2 linked regions of the Arabidopsis thaliana genome follow. The protein of the gene in region 1 interacts with the protein of each later gene in a pairwise test. Each region holds a gene or a part of one and is shown on either strand. Other genes may lie near its edges.

The links. The genes of interacting proteins can lie anywhere in the genome.
Region 2: the proteins of GSTU15 (region 1) and AT5G45780 interact in a protein complementation assay, tested with the Arabidopsis thaliana proteins (one large-scale study listed by BioGRID).

What each region holds. Positions count from the first base shown.
Region 1 is NC_003070.9:21,926,412-21,933,234, forward strand, and holds GSTU15 (glutathione S-transferase TAU 15), read left to right. Parts: upstream 1-3,598; 5' UTR 3,599-3,623; coding exon 3,624-3,950; intron 3,951-4,442; coding exon 4,443-4,817; 3' UTR 4,818-4,955; downstream 4,956-6,823. Other genes in the region: AT1G59660 (Nucleoporin autopeptidase), read left to right, coding at 1-30, 130-749, 858-942, 1,025-1,085, 1,212-1,350, 1,516-1,632, 1,740-1,896, 2,074-2,115 and 1 more; AT1G59675 (F-box family protein), read right to left, coding at 5,422-5,536, 5,613-5,992; EDA1 (F-box associated ubiquitination effector family protein), read left to right, coding at 6,601-6,823. UniProt on the Arabidopsis thaliana protein: May be involved in the conjugation of reduced glutathione to a wide number of exogenous and endogenous hydrophobic electrophiles and have a detoxification role against certain herbicides.
Region 2 is NC_003076.8:18,566,370-18,573,192, forward strand, and holds AT5G45780 (Leucine-rich repeat protein kinase family protein), read right to left. Parts: upstream 3,538-6,823; 5' UTR 3,257-3,537; coding exon 3,139-3,256; exon of another isoform or gene 3,062-3,138; coding exon 2,929-3,061; intron 2,844-2,928; coding exon 2,772-2,843; intron 2,690-2,771; coding exon 2,546-2,689; intron 2,472-2,545; coding exon 2,400-2,471; intron 2,301-2,399; coding exon 2,241-2,300; intron 2,163-2,240; coding exon 2,089-2,162; intron 2,008-2,088; coding exon 1,861-2,007; intron 1,771-1,860; coding exon 1,432-1,770; intron 1,351-1,431; coding exon 959-1,350; intron 871-958; coding exon 577-870; 3' UTR 429-576; downstream 1-428. Other genes in the region: AT5G45775 (Ribosomal L5P family protein), read right to left, coding at 1-35, 125-127; AT5G45790 (Ubiquitin carboxyl-terminal hydrolase family protein), read left to right, coding at 5,976-6,823.

The DNA of each region.
Region 1 (6,823 bases):
GGTGGGAGGACTACCAGCGAGGAGATAAAGGTCATATGCCAAACAAATCCATGATATTCGTTCGTCTAAAGGTTAGATGTTTGTACTTTATTTACCAAAATATTGACTCTCTTGTTGTTCAATTTTCAGGAGGACAACGTTCTACTGGTCAATCTCCTGAAGGTGCTGGATTTGGTGTAACAAATTCTCAGCCAAGTATATTCTCTACGTCACCAGCGTTTAGCCAGACACCTGTGAATCCAACAAACCCTTTTTCACAGACGACTCCAACAAGTAACACAAATTTTTCCCCCTCCTTTAGTCAACCCACTACCCCATCCTTTGGTCAACCCACTACCCCATCCTTTAGGTCAACTGTATCAAATACTACATCCGTTTTTGGATCATCCTCTAGTTTAACAACAAACACATCGCAGCCACTTGGTTCATCAATATTTGGTTCTACTCCTGCACATGGGTCAACTCCAGGATTTAGCATTGGTGGATTTAACAACAGTCAGTCATCTCCGCTGTTTGGTTCAAACCCCTCATTTGCACAAAATACCACTCCTGCATTCAGCCAGACTAGTCCTTTGTTTGGACAGAATACCACTCCTGCATTAGGACAGTCTAGTTCTGTGTTTGGACAGAATACCAATCCTGCACTTGTACAGAGCAACACTTTCAGTACACCTTCCACTGGCTTTGGGAACACGTTTTCAAGCTCTTCATCCTTAACTACAAGCATCTCCCCCTTTGGTCAAATAACGGTTAGTTTTTCTGTAACTAATTTAAATGCCAGTTCACTTCAGAGTTGATGTCTCTTTCACTTCCGTTTGAGTTATGTAGGGATTTCTAATATGAGTTTATTTTTGCAGCCTGCTGTTACGCCCTTTCAATCAGCTCAGCCAACTCAACCATTAGGTGCTTTTGGTTTCAACAACTTTGGTCAAACCCAAATAGGTATGTGAATCAGTCAAAGGCACCCTGAATATTATCATCTTGAATACTCGAAGCCAAGTCTTGTATGTTTATGTTTCTGAAGCTAATACAACTGACATTGCAGGTGCAATGGGAACTTTTAGCCAAGGAAACTTTAAGCAACAGTATGGTCTCTCTGACCTCAGTGTTTCCGACTCTTATTTCCGACTAGATACCACTAGTTTAATTGTACTTTGGAAGTTGCGTCTCTGGAGCTTAATTCTTTTCTTTTTGTTTTGTTTTGTTGACAGGCCTGCATTGGGTAACTCTGCTGTTATGCAACCAACTCCTGTTACAAACCCATTTGGAACACTTCCTGCTTTGCCTCAGATTTCAATTGCTCAAGGTGGAAATTCACCTTCGATTCAGTATGGTATCTCCAGCATGCCTGTAAGTTTTTCTGCCTTTTTCAACACCCACACACACCACCCTTTTTCTTCATAACTTCTTTCCAAATTTGAAGCAAATAAAATATAGATATTCTCAAAGATACAATGTTACAGAAACAAATGACTACTCCATGTTATTACCCTGAATATTTTCCTTTCTTCTCAGGTCGTTGATAAGCCTGCTCCTGTTAGAGTATCACCACTCCTAACTTCTCGACACCTTTTACAAAGGCGGGTCAGGCTACCAACAAGAAAGTACCGTCCTAGTGATGATGGTCCAAAGGTATGTTTTTCTATTTTCTGAATTTTGGCTTTGTCTTGAATATTTCAGTCTTTAGTGATGTTTACTGAAGGTCTTTCTACCTGTTTGTTTCACCAATGTTTGTCCAGGTTCCATTCTTCAGCGATGAAGAGGAGAATTCCAGTACACCAAAGGCTGATGCGTTTTTCATTCCAAGGGAGAACCCTAGAGCTTTATTTATACGCCCAGTTGAAAGGGTAAAATCAGAACATCCAAAGGATAGCCCGACCCCACTGCAGGAGAACGGTAAGCTTCCCTTTTTTTTTTCATTCATTGGCTTATTTATTGCAAGATTTAGAGCTTTGTTTCAATTGCAAAAAGAAGCTTTTCATTGTCCCAATAGCTCGGAAGATGATCTGCTTGCATATTAATATAGTGGCTGAATTTGATCATATCTGACCCCTTATTACATTTGAAATTCAGGTAAGAGGTCGAATGGGGTTACTAATGGAGCCAACCATGAGAGTGAGTATTTTAAATATGCATTTGTAACAAAATTGTGATTAAAGTTTGTGCATTGGTGAGGCCATTCACTGACTCTACTGTTAATATGTGCAGCTAAGGATAACGGTGCAATTCGTGAAGCTCCCCCGGTAAAAGTCAATCAGAAACAGAACGGGACACATGAAAATCACGGAGGCGACAAAAACGGTTCACACAGTTCACCAAGTGGAGCAGATATTGAGTCATTAATGCCGAAGTTGCATCACTCTGAATATTTCACAGAGCCTCGGATCCAAGAACTGGCTGCAAAAGAAAGGGTTGAACAGGGTTATTGCAAGCGGGTAAAGGACTTTGTTGTTGGGAGACACGGTTACGGGAGCATAAAGTTTCTAGGAGAGACGGATGTGTGTAGACTCGACCTGGAAATGGTGGTTCAGTTCAAAAACCGGGAAGTGAATGTGTACATGGACGAGAGCAAAAAACCGCCGGTGGGTCAAGGATTGAATAAGCCTGCGGTGGTAACTTTGCTGAACATAAAATGTATGGACAAGAAGACCGGCACGCAAGTGATGGAAGGCGAGAGATTGGACAAGTACAAGGAAATGCTCAAGAGGAAAGCTGGGGAACAAGGAGCTCAGTTTGTGTCTTATGATCCTGTGAATGGCGAGTGGACTTTCAAGGTCGAACATTTCAGTTCCTACAAGCTTGGAGATGAATATGATGTGTAGAAAAGGACCAAAGTCGTTGTCATATGTAGACTAGTGTCTCGATTATTTTTTATTTTTTTTACCTTGTGGGGTTTTGTCTATTGGTCTTTTGCAATATAATGTCAAAATGATACGTCTTTTACCTCATTGGCTCAACCTGGAAAAATTCAATATTCATTTTGTTGTTTTCGCCAATTAATATAATAATATCTCACTAAGAAGCAGAAAAAAAAAATAGAGTCGTGGAGGACACAAAACTGGTCTCACCAGTTGTTTCGTGGTTTCTTCTAAAGATATTATTAGTTCCTAATTTATAAAAAATTTTGATGACTTTAATCACATCCTAAAAAGTAAATAAAAGAAAGATTATAAACTATTTAGAGAATTTTTTATAATTTTATTGATTAGCTTTTATAATTTTGTAAAATTTCTCAAATAATTTTTCTATTTTAATAATATTTTTCATGACTTTCTATGACTTTATTTTGTGAAAAAAATGTAGAAAGTTATGAACCAATAACATAATAATTCAAATCATTAACAATCAGAAATTATTATATTTTAATTGAATAACACAAAACTTTTACTGATTTTATAAGAGTATGAATCTAATAACTCCAAATTTATGAAGATTTTAGATTACTTTTTACAAATCTTATTTGAATAACATAAACTTTAACATATTTTTAAAAAGTCTTGATTGAATATCAACAGATTCTACATAACACTTTAAATCACTAACTTTTTTTTTGAAATCATATATAAACCAATAACACCCCCTAATTGTATACCTAAACTAAAAATAATTTAGACAAAACAAAGATGGGAGAGAGAGAGGAAGTGAAACTGTTGGGAACATGGTACAGTCCGGTCGTGATAAGAGCAAAGATCGCTCTTCGTCTCAAATCGGTTGATTATGATTACGTTGAAGAGGATTTGTTCGGATCTAAGAGTGAGCTTCTTCTCAAATCGAACCCTATTTTCAAGAAAGTCCCGGTTCTCATCCACAACACTAAACCGGTTTGTGTATCTCTTAACATCGTTGAATACATCGACGAGACGTGGAACTCATCTGGATCGTCCATTCTTCCTTCTCATCCTTATGATCGTGCCCTTGCTCGCTTCTGGTCTGTCTTTGTTGATGACAAGGTCAGTTTTTTTTGTGTCTTTTTTTTCTGATGTCCAACAAATTTAATTTATGAGTGATCAGTAATACTTTATGCAATAAAATTTTGATATTTTTAGCGAGATACTAATAATTATATCTTATTTTTTGAATGACAAAAACTTATTGTTTATGCATATCTAAATTGTTGAAAATTTGAAATTAAATGGACCATGCAAATATGCAATATGAAGTGTGGAAAATTCGGCTTAAAATAATTGAAATCTAGTCCTTTTTCCCATTGTTTCAACAAAAACAGAACTATTTATTTATCACTCTAAATAATTTGATGGATGATTGAAATTGGTCCCAAATATCTTCAATGAGTTTTAAACTTGATCATTATAAAATCAATTAGGATGTTCCTACCATGAAATAATCAATATTTTATCAAGAAGAAACCATTAAGCTTAATTTTGATTTAGAACAAATTTGTATCACACTATTTTCGCTAATTTTCCATTTCAAGAATGCAGTGGTTACCGACTTTGATGGCAGCTGTGGTCGCTAAATCGGAAGAAGCAAAAGCAAAAGGCATGGAAGAAGTGGAAGAAGGGTTGTTGCAACTAGAAGCTGCGTTTATTGCTCTAAGCAAAGGGAAATCTTTTTTTGGCGGTGAAACAATCGGGTTCATAGACATTTGCCTTGGAAGCTTTTTAGTTCTCTTAAAAGCTAGAGAGAAGCTTAAAAACGAAAAGATTTTAGACGAATTAAAAACTCCTTCTCTTTATAGATGGGCCAACCAGTTTTTGTCAAATGAAATGGTGAAGAATGTGGTGCCGGATATTGATAAAGTCGCCAAGTTTATAGAAGAGTTTGAGGATAGAGCTCAATATATCCGGTGCTTCTAGATCTTGAGATCATCACAGAAATCGTTAGAAAAGAGTGGAGGTTTAGTCTTGGCTTCAAAGTCAAACTTGTTATCTCCAAAAACAGAGTTTCATATGGTTTATTCATATGTTAGTTAATCTAAAAGAAGAACATGGTTCTATTTCTCATTTGCTAAAAATCTTTTATAACTAATTAAAAATATTATGCTGGGACATATTCAACAATAGAACAAGTGTCTGTCACTATTCAGCAAAATAGTTGTTAGGAGATCTCGGGATTACGAGATCGTTGTGAAATATATTTCCTTATTGTTATTAGGAAACATAATATTTGTGTATATCTTCCTATTATTAAATAAGATATTTAGAATTATCCTAAATGTAAAAAACTTGCTAAACAAATTATATATTTGTATAAATAAACCTCCTATTAGGCTAATCAATAAAATTGAGAGAAACTATTACATTTCCTCCGTGCTTATTTCCTTCTTAAAGTGCAAAAATAAACTTTGATGGAGTGAGAATATATGACATGCTTCTTCTTCTTTCTTCACTTATGTATTATCCTTACATATTAAGGGTCAAAGGTGAAAACAAAGAAAACATGACCGATGAAGGCGCTACTTCACAAAGACACAAGACTTTCGATGTGATTTGGGTAAACATTCATGGTGTACATATACTTGTCAGAAAGTCTAACTTCATCACCCACAGTTTCGACTTCTCTAATACTGTTTCTCCTGAAATCAAAATATAGAATATAAACCGATTTAGAAAACCAAAAAGGTGAAAAATAAGCTCACCAGCATTACTAACATCTTTGAAGTGTAGCTTTTTGTTCTGTATTGGGTCCATTTCAGAAAGTGGTAACGAGAGAGGTTACCAAAATTAGGGTTTGTCAATTGATAACTTCCCACACAAGTAAATTGACCATCGGAACTATTCTTGTCTACGGGATACGAGAAAACGAACAGAATGTCACCTTTTCGGACGGTTAGCAGTACAGAAGGCCGCGATGCCAAGGACCCAGTCGCAAAGGAGTTGATGAAATTTTGACTGGTGGTGTTGGCCGACCAGAGCTTAGAGACGGAGCGAAATCTCCCAACCGATTTCGCAGGAAGTCTTGAGAGTATCTCAATGGTTAAATCCAAAGGAACATGGTCTGATTGAGATGTATCATTATCACGTGAGGACATTGTCGAAGAAGATTATGTTCTTCTCTCGATCTTTCCCGTCTTCTCTTCCATGGTCTATCGCTCCAGTTTTTCACTTTCTCTGAACCCTAATTGAGAATACTCATTTGATTATTAATATAATATTATAATCTTAATGTTATTTTTACAAAATTAGGGAACTTTGTCGTAAAGTTTAATTTGGTAAAATTCCAAAAATAAATTCAAATTATTTTTTATTTGAATGTTTAATACCCAAAAAATATTAGAAACCTAAAGCGTCTCTCATTAATATTTTGGAAACTTATCAATTTACATTAGAAGTTTATAACTATATTCAGTTGTAAACTTATACAAGTTAATATTAATAAACCTAAAATTCAATTTTTTTTTTTAATAATTATATGTATTTATATCTTATACAAGTTAATATTAATATACTCCATGATAATAACAAAAAATATATTTGATAAATTAAGTTATGTTTATAAAAAAATAGTCAAAAGCTAGCACAAGGAAACAAAACGATTGTGCCCTAAGCCCTAAGTTAACAATTTGTCTTCATATATCTCGAGAGAAAAGAGTGGGCAAGCGTAGATAGTTAAAAACTTAGTTTGAAATTTGTAAGAATAATGACGACAATGTCAGATCTTTCTGTGGATTTGGTAGGGGAGATACTCTCTAGGGTTCCGCTAACATCTCTGAGCGCAGTGCGATGTACTTGCAAATCGTGGAACACTTTATCTAAGCATCAGATTTTTGGTAAAGCAGAATTAGCAGCGACTAAGCAGTTTTTGGGGTTCACTGTGATGGATTATAAGGTTTGTTCCTTGAGATTCGATCTCCAAGGAATCC
Region 2 (6,823 bases), on another chromosome or scaffold:
TCCCTCATGGGGTTCGAGAGCTTCTTCTCCGACGCCTGAGAAACAAAACAAAGCCGAAAAATAAACCCATTGAACTAAACACATTTTCATTGAATCGATCTACAGAGACGAACGAAACAAATACCATTTTAAGGAGATCAATGTCGAGCTAAGAGACGAAGCAGTGTAGAGTTTGCAAAGCCCAAAACTGCGTCGAGTGCAAAGTGAGAGAACTTATATGGGTCGGTACTTAGGGTTTCTTGAATTAACGCAATGACGAAATTACCCCTTTGATTTATTAAAATGGTTTAATGGGCCAATATTATAAAGCCCATAAGAAAAGCATAATCTTAAGCATATATTTGGCCTTCTTAGTTACATAAGGCAAATAGTCTTTCATTCGCCGAATCACTTTATTATGTATGAGTTTTAAAATTAACGATAGATAATTTTTTATGAGACTGTGGAAACGCAAATCTTCATTTATTTTTGGAAGAACAGAATAAATAAGAGTTATTGAGAAAACAAATTTTTACAGTTAATGCCATGACAATGACAACAAAATCAAGAAGACTAGTTAAGACACTATGAAGTCTATCATCGTGGTCCAGAGAGCTCAATGGCTTCAATAATAAAGGACTGCTCTTCATGACCATTACTGTAGTTCCTAGAGACACTTGGAGCTCTAGCTTCATACCCTCCTTCACACTGTTCCACTAAACCTTCTAGTACCTTCAACACTTGAGACATCCTCGGTCTTAGATTCGGATGTGGCTGTGTACAAAGCAAAGCCAATTCCACTACTTCCTCCAACACCAAATCATCAAACTCTCCCTTCAAATCTCTGTCCACCATCTCTGCAAATCTCTTCTCTGCTTTCAATGTCCTTACCTACAAAAACCAATGGTTTAGATTTAAGTTTTGTCCTTATGGGTTCAGTCTAAGTTGAGTAAATGACTCATAGAATTTTTTTACTTACCCAGCTCAATATCATTCCTTTTCGAACTTGACCATTGCCTTGATCAATCATCTTATGACCTGTTATGAGTTCAAGGATTAGTACTCCGAATCCGAAAACATCGGTTTTCTCTGAGGACTGTCCAGTGGAAAGGTACTCGGGAGCGATGTGTCCAATGGTTCCTCGGACTGCGGTAGTGACATGTGAATCTCTCTGGTCTAAAAGCTTTGCTAGACCAAAATCGCCAACTATTGCTTCAAAGCTCTCATCAAGTAGAATATTTGCAGCTTTGACGTCTCTGTGAATAATCTTTGGATTGCATTGCTCGTGCAAGTAAACAAGTCCTCGAGCTGCGCCGAGTGCAATGCTTATCCTCCGATTCCAATCTAGAGACGGCTTTTCTCCATAATTGTCTGAAACATGTAATCTTATAAGGAACTTTTCGCGTTATATATCGAAAGAATAACAAAACAAGAAATGTGTTAATTGAAAACCTCTCAGACGATCAGCTACGCTTCCATTTGGCATGTACGGATACACAAGCATTCTCTCTTCCGGGGTCATACAGAATCCAAAGAGGCGTAAAAGGTTACGGTGAACAGCTAAGCCAATCATCTCTACTTCGGTTTGAAACTGAACTTCTCCTGTATAAATCGGATCTTTCAATCTTTTAACTGCCACCACAGTTCCATTTGGGAGATACCCTTTATAAACCATCCCAAACCCTCCTTGTCCCAAAATGTTCTTTGGACTAAAATTGCTTGTTGCGGTTTGTATTTCGCGAAAACTGAACCTTTTCAGATGGCCGATTTCAAATTCGTAGTCTTGCTGCACTAAGAAATCCATAAAAAGTAATGCAGATTTTAGCAAAGTCTTGACATATATTGTATATGACAGACAGAGAGAGACTATTAGATATGTACCGTGTGATCTTGAGAGACGTGATCGATGCCAAAGCACCCAGAAGAAGAGAAACATTAGGGAGATGATAAAGGCAACAACAATGCCAAATGCAAAAGAGAGCACTAAGCTGTGATGTTTGCTATTGTCCTTTTCAGACAAACCCGTCGCTGCAGATCGATTGCAGCTAGTTAAATAAACGAAACCATGTTTTAAATAAAGTTTTGCAAAGAATTTTCGAAGCAACATACCATTTCTCACAGGTGTAGCATCTGAGCAAAGCTCTTGGGAAGCTGGACCACAAAGAAATGCATTTCCTACAATCCTAAAACAGAAAAGTTTATCAAGAAGCTTTCACATAAGTTGCAACGGCTAATAATCATGCATTTTTCGCATATCTTACCTGTAATCTTTTGCTGATATATTCGGAGTTGGTCCGCTTAGATTGTTGAAAGATAGATCCCTATTCAAGTTTTTCATAAATAAAAAAACATTAGTCTAAGAAACATTATACGAAATAGAAATTTCCTGGAGCTGTAATGTTAGGTAGAGTAAGACATACAAGAAAGAAAGACCTGAGAGGCCAGCGACGAGGTGAGGGACTTGCCCAGATAAAAGATTCCTGCTAAGCCGCCTACAAGACTTAACCTTGTAAGAAAATAACAATTGCAACATTAAGTAAATCAAGAATCTTTGCATCAAACTCACAAGTAGTTTAAGTGAGTTAAGAACCCTAAAGAAGCTGGGATTTCACCACTAAACCGATTCCCCGATAAATCAAGCGTTTCAAGCTCAGAGAGTTGGCCTAACTCAGAAGGAATCGGACCAGTTAACTGATTATTCTGAAGTAACCTACAATAATAACAAGTAACCCCATTAGTTACAACAACACATACTTGAATTCCAAGATTAACCACAAATTCATTTAACTCACAAAGTATGAAGATGAGTTAATTCCCCAATACTAGTAGATAGTATCCCTGATAATCCTTTACTAGCCATCTCTCTGCATTAAAGATTTCAATAAACTCAGCAAAGAAACGTTTCTCAGAGACATTTAGTCGAACAAGTGGTGTGCAAAAGATACTCACAGAGAAACCACAAAACCTTCAGAAGAACAACCAACCATGTTCCAAGTACAAGGATCAACAGAGTTAATATCCCAACCAGACAAAACCTCTTTCTCATCTTTCATCTTGTTCTTCACTGACATTAACGCAGCCACTACAATAACCCAAAAATATGGATTAAGTCAAAACCTTTTTACACAATAAAAGAAAGATCTTTGATACTTTTTTCACCTTCATAGTTAACACCCTTGGGAGATAAAAGACTATCCATGGCAGAAACAGAGTCAAGAACAGAGTAATAATAAACCCAGATTCCTAAAAACAGAAACTTCATCAAAGAAATCTCCATCGTAGAAAAAGTATAAGAATTCTCTAGACTTCAATGTTAGTTATCATTTGTATGCCCTTTCTTCTAGGGCAGACCATTTGAAACATTATAAATACATTAAAAAGATAAGTTTTTTTTGGCATTAAATTGAATCGAGATGAAGAAGAAGAAGAAGAAGACAAATAAAGAAATTGACGATTATAGCAAATGGAAGCGGGAAAATCCTCGAAGTTGTCAAACGATTGTTTCCTTGTCTTCTGTTCTGTAAGACTTTTTTTTGTTTTTATATCTGACTTTTGACAGTGTTAGTGAGATTAGATCCTCTGTAATCGGTTCTACGAGAACAATGGTACAACAGCACACTCTTGAATCTGATATGGTATTCCGATCAACGGCTTGATTTATCTTTATTTCACCATTGAAAAAGTCAATAATGCTCAAGACTAATGCTCGTATGAACGATATTGGGTTAGTAATAAGTTGGGTTAGTATGGAATAAATGGTGTGACACAATATTTGAATGGTGATGATTTTTGTAACAATAACAAAAAATAATTATCTTGCGACTAAAATAATTATCAAGTTTTAATTAATTTTTGATAACATTTCGAGTAATAGCAAAGTCTTCAAGCTTCAAGACTCTTAAAACATGCAATATAATGCTTATGTGCTCATGCACGGCTGATTTAGTCATTTTACCCTTTCTCCATAAATCTTGTTTAGCCTCATTTTACACTTTTTCGTTGCAATTAGGACATATAATTCCTTCATGTGTTAATGGTCCTCATTCCTCTGCTAATCGCTTCCATTCTCATACCATTTTAACATGAAATAATTCCGCGACGAATTTTCAGAGATCTATCCCAAAAAAACATTATGTCCTTGAGTTTTTAGTAGGTCTTGTACATACCGATACCCTTTATATCCTGCAATTAATAGTTCATTTGCAACTTCAGGACTATCCTTCGCCCAAGAAATGATCTTTGATTTGATAATAACGTCACTTGCTTGCTTTTCATCTACAATATCCACACCAAAGTCATCTCACGTAAGATTCTATAAGTATAATATTAAAGAACATTTTTCTAGAAATATAATATTAAATTTTTTTACCTGAAATGACTGAGGTAGAGTCGATATAGGTAGAATCAAAGTAACTGAAGGTACCGAGAAAAAGTTCATTAGGGTCACCAACCGCCTTAATCGTAACGGGGTCAACGTGTTTTGAGATACCATAATTTTCGGTATCCCAATACACAACGTTTTTGGCAAGTGTGTAAAAGGTATCCTTTTTTGCAAGTGCGTAACAACTATCCTCTTCAAACGGTAGAATTACAAACTAACTAAAATAATTTACCTTGTAATTCAGTAGAGTAAATTTTACAAATTCTTGTTTAAATTACTTATGTATTGGTCTTAAACAGCTTGGTCTTTTTAGTTTTGAGTTTGGATATAATTGATCTTGGATCTAATGCTTTCTTGAGTTTTTTATATTACCTATGTTAGTATGTTTGCATTTCTGCTACTGATCTCAAATCATTGTAAAATCTCTCATACATATCATTTAGAATGTGGGTAAAATTATACTATGAAATAGTAATAAAAGCGCAAATATATCATAAAGCAAAAATGTGAACGATAAGATGATCCAAACTAAATTCGAAATGGTATCAAAGTGGCAAAGACGGTCTATGGCATAATTCACCAAAGCCACTGCTTACGACATCATTAAAAATATAGAATTATTTTCTGAATATTGGTTAGGTTGTGTATGCACACAATTCGTCCATGTCATATTGTCATATAGTATTTTTATCATTTTTAAGTTAATGTTTTGCTAATGTGATTGTTTTTTCATATATTTAAAGATTTTGAACCATATATTATTTTGTAAAGTCACGTGGATCCACCATTTTTCGTAGGTGCATGAAATAATTTGAACAAAACTTACAAATATTAGTTTTGTAATTAAAATAAAAGATATTTTTAAATTTATAGTGTTAGCATCTTTCAATCATTTATGAAAATTAAATAATAAAATAAATATTGTATTATTTATTTTTTCTAAATATCAAATAAAACATTTTTTTATACAGTAAATTACAATTTTTTTCTTTTAAACTTGTTTGTTAAGTTTTATATTTTTGATTTCGCTTTAGGGAATTATAGATGTTTTGACTAATTTAATAGTTAAGTGTATTGAATAATAACTCGAGCAATTAAATTAACCATTAGATCACATCTCGTCCAAATCGTTGAGTTACCACAGAAACTTGAGATCAAGTGTTTGAATCTATCTCGGTACCCACTTCTCTTCTCTCTTCCTCTCTCTCTCTCTCATGTTGTTACGTAAATGATTTGGAGATTAAACTAAAATTATTATAATTTGAACAATTTTATTATTAGAGAAGCAATTTCTTTTTTCTCCTAGTGAATTATTATTATTGAAGTGATTAAACTAGTGTTTTCTACACCTATAAATAATGTTTTGCAGATGTAATTTGAATCATTTGATCAGTTAACGCAAATACCTAAACAAGAGTCCTAAGCTTCGCCGCCCGATAATAATGTATGATTTGATGCCACGTCAACAAAATACCATTCAAATTCGGTTTGATAAATTTCGGTTCGGTTCAGGTAAAAACCGTTTGGTTCGACCAGCCTTAAAAACCGAACCCTCTCTAAACTCGTTTGTCGTTCTCGCTCTCTCTCCGCCGCTTTCTCTCTAAAATGGTGATCGATGTTCGAAAAATGTTTCCTTTTTCCCGAAATTCACAGTAAAAAAGATATGAATTCTCTAAAATCTTTGAGATACAGTAGCATTAGAGAAGCTTTGACACATCAAAACCCAACAAAGTCTTCATTTTTATGCCCACTTTACTTCTACAATCAACGAAGATGGTTAAAGCCTGTAGATTCAGCACAAACAAGGTTAGAGAATCGAACAAGAGATCATCAATTAGACAAAATCATTCCCCAGATTAGGAAACTAAACATCATCCTCGAGATTTCAAAACTCATGTCTAGCAAAAAGCGTGGTCCTTTTGTTTCTTTGCAGCTTATGTCTAGATGGAAGAATCTCGTTGGTTTGAATGTAAATGTTGGAGCTTTTATCGGTAAGTATCCTCATGCTTTTGAGATCTTTACACATCCTTTTAGTAAGAATCTTTGTTGTAAGATTACTGAGAAGTTTAAGGTATTGATTGATGAGGAAGAGAATGTTGTTAGAGAGTGTGAGGTTGATGCTGTGAAGAGGGTAAAGAAGTTGTTGTTGTTGTCGAAACACGGTGTTCTTCGTGTACATGCTTTGAGGTTGATTAGAAAGGAATTGGGTTTGCCTGAGGATTTTCGAGATTCTATTTTAGCTAAGTATAGTTCAGAGTTCAGGTTAGTTGATTTGGAGACTTTAGAGTTAGTTGATAGAGATGATGAGAGTTTGTGTGTGGCAAAAGTTGAGGAGTGGAGAGAAGTTGAATATAGAGAGAAATGGTTAAGTAAGTTTGAGACGAATTACGCGTTTCCTATTCATCTTCCTACAGGGTTCAAGATTGAGAAAGGGTTTAGAGAAGAGTTAAAGAATTGGCAAAG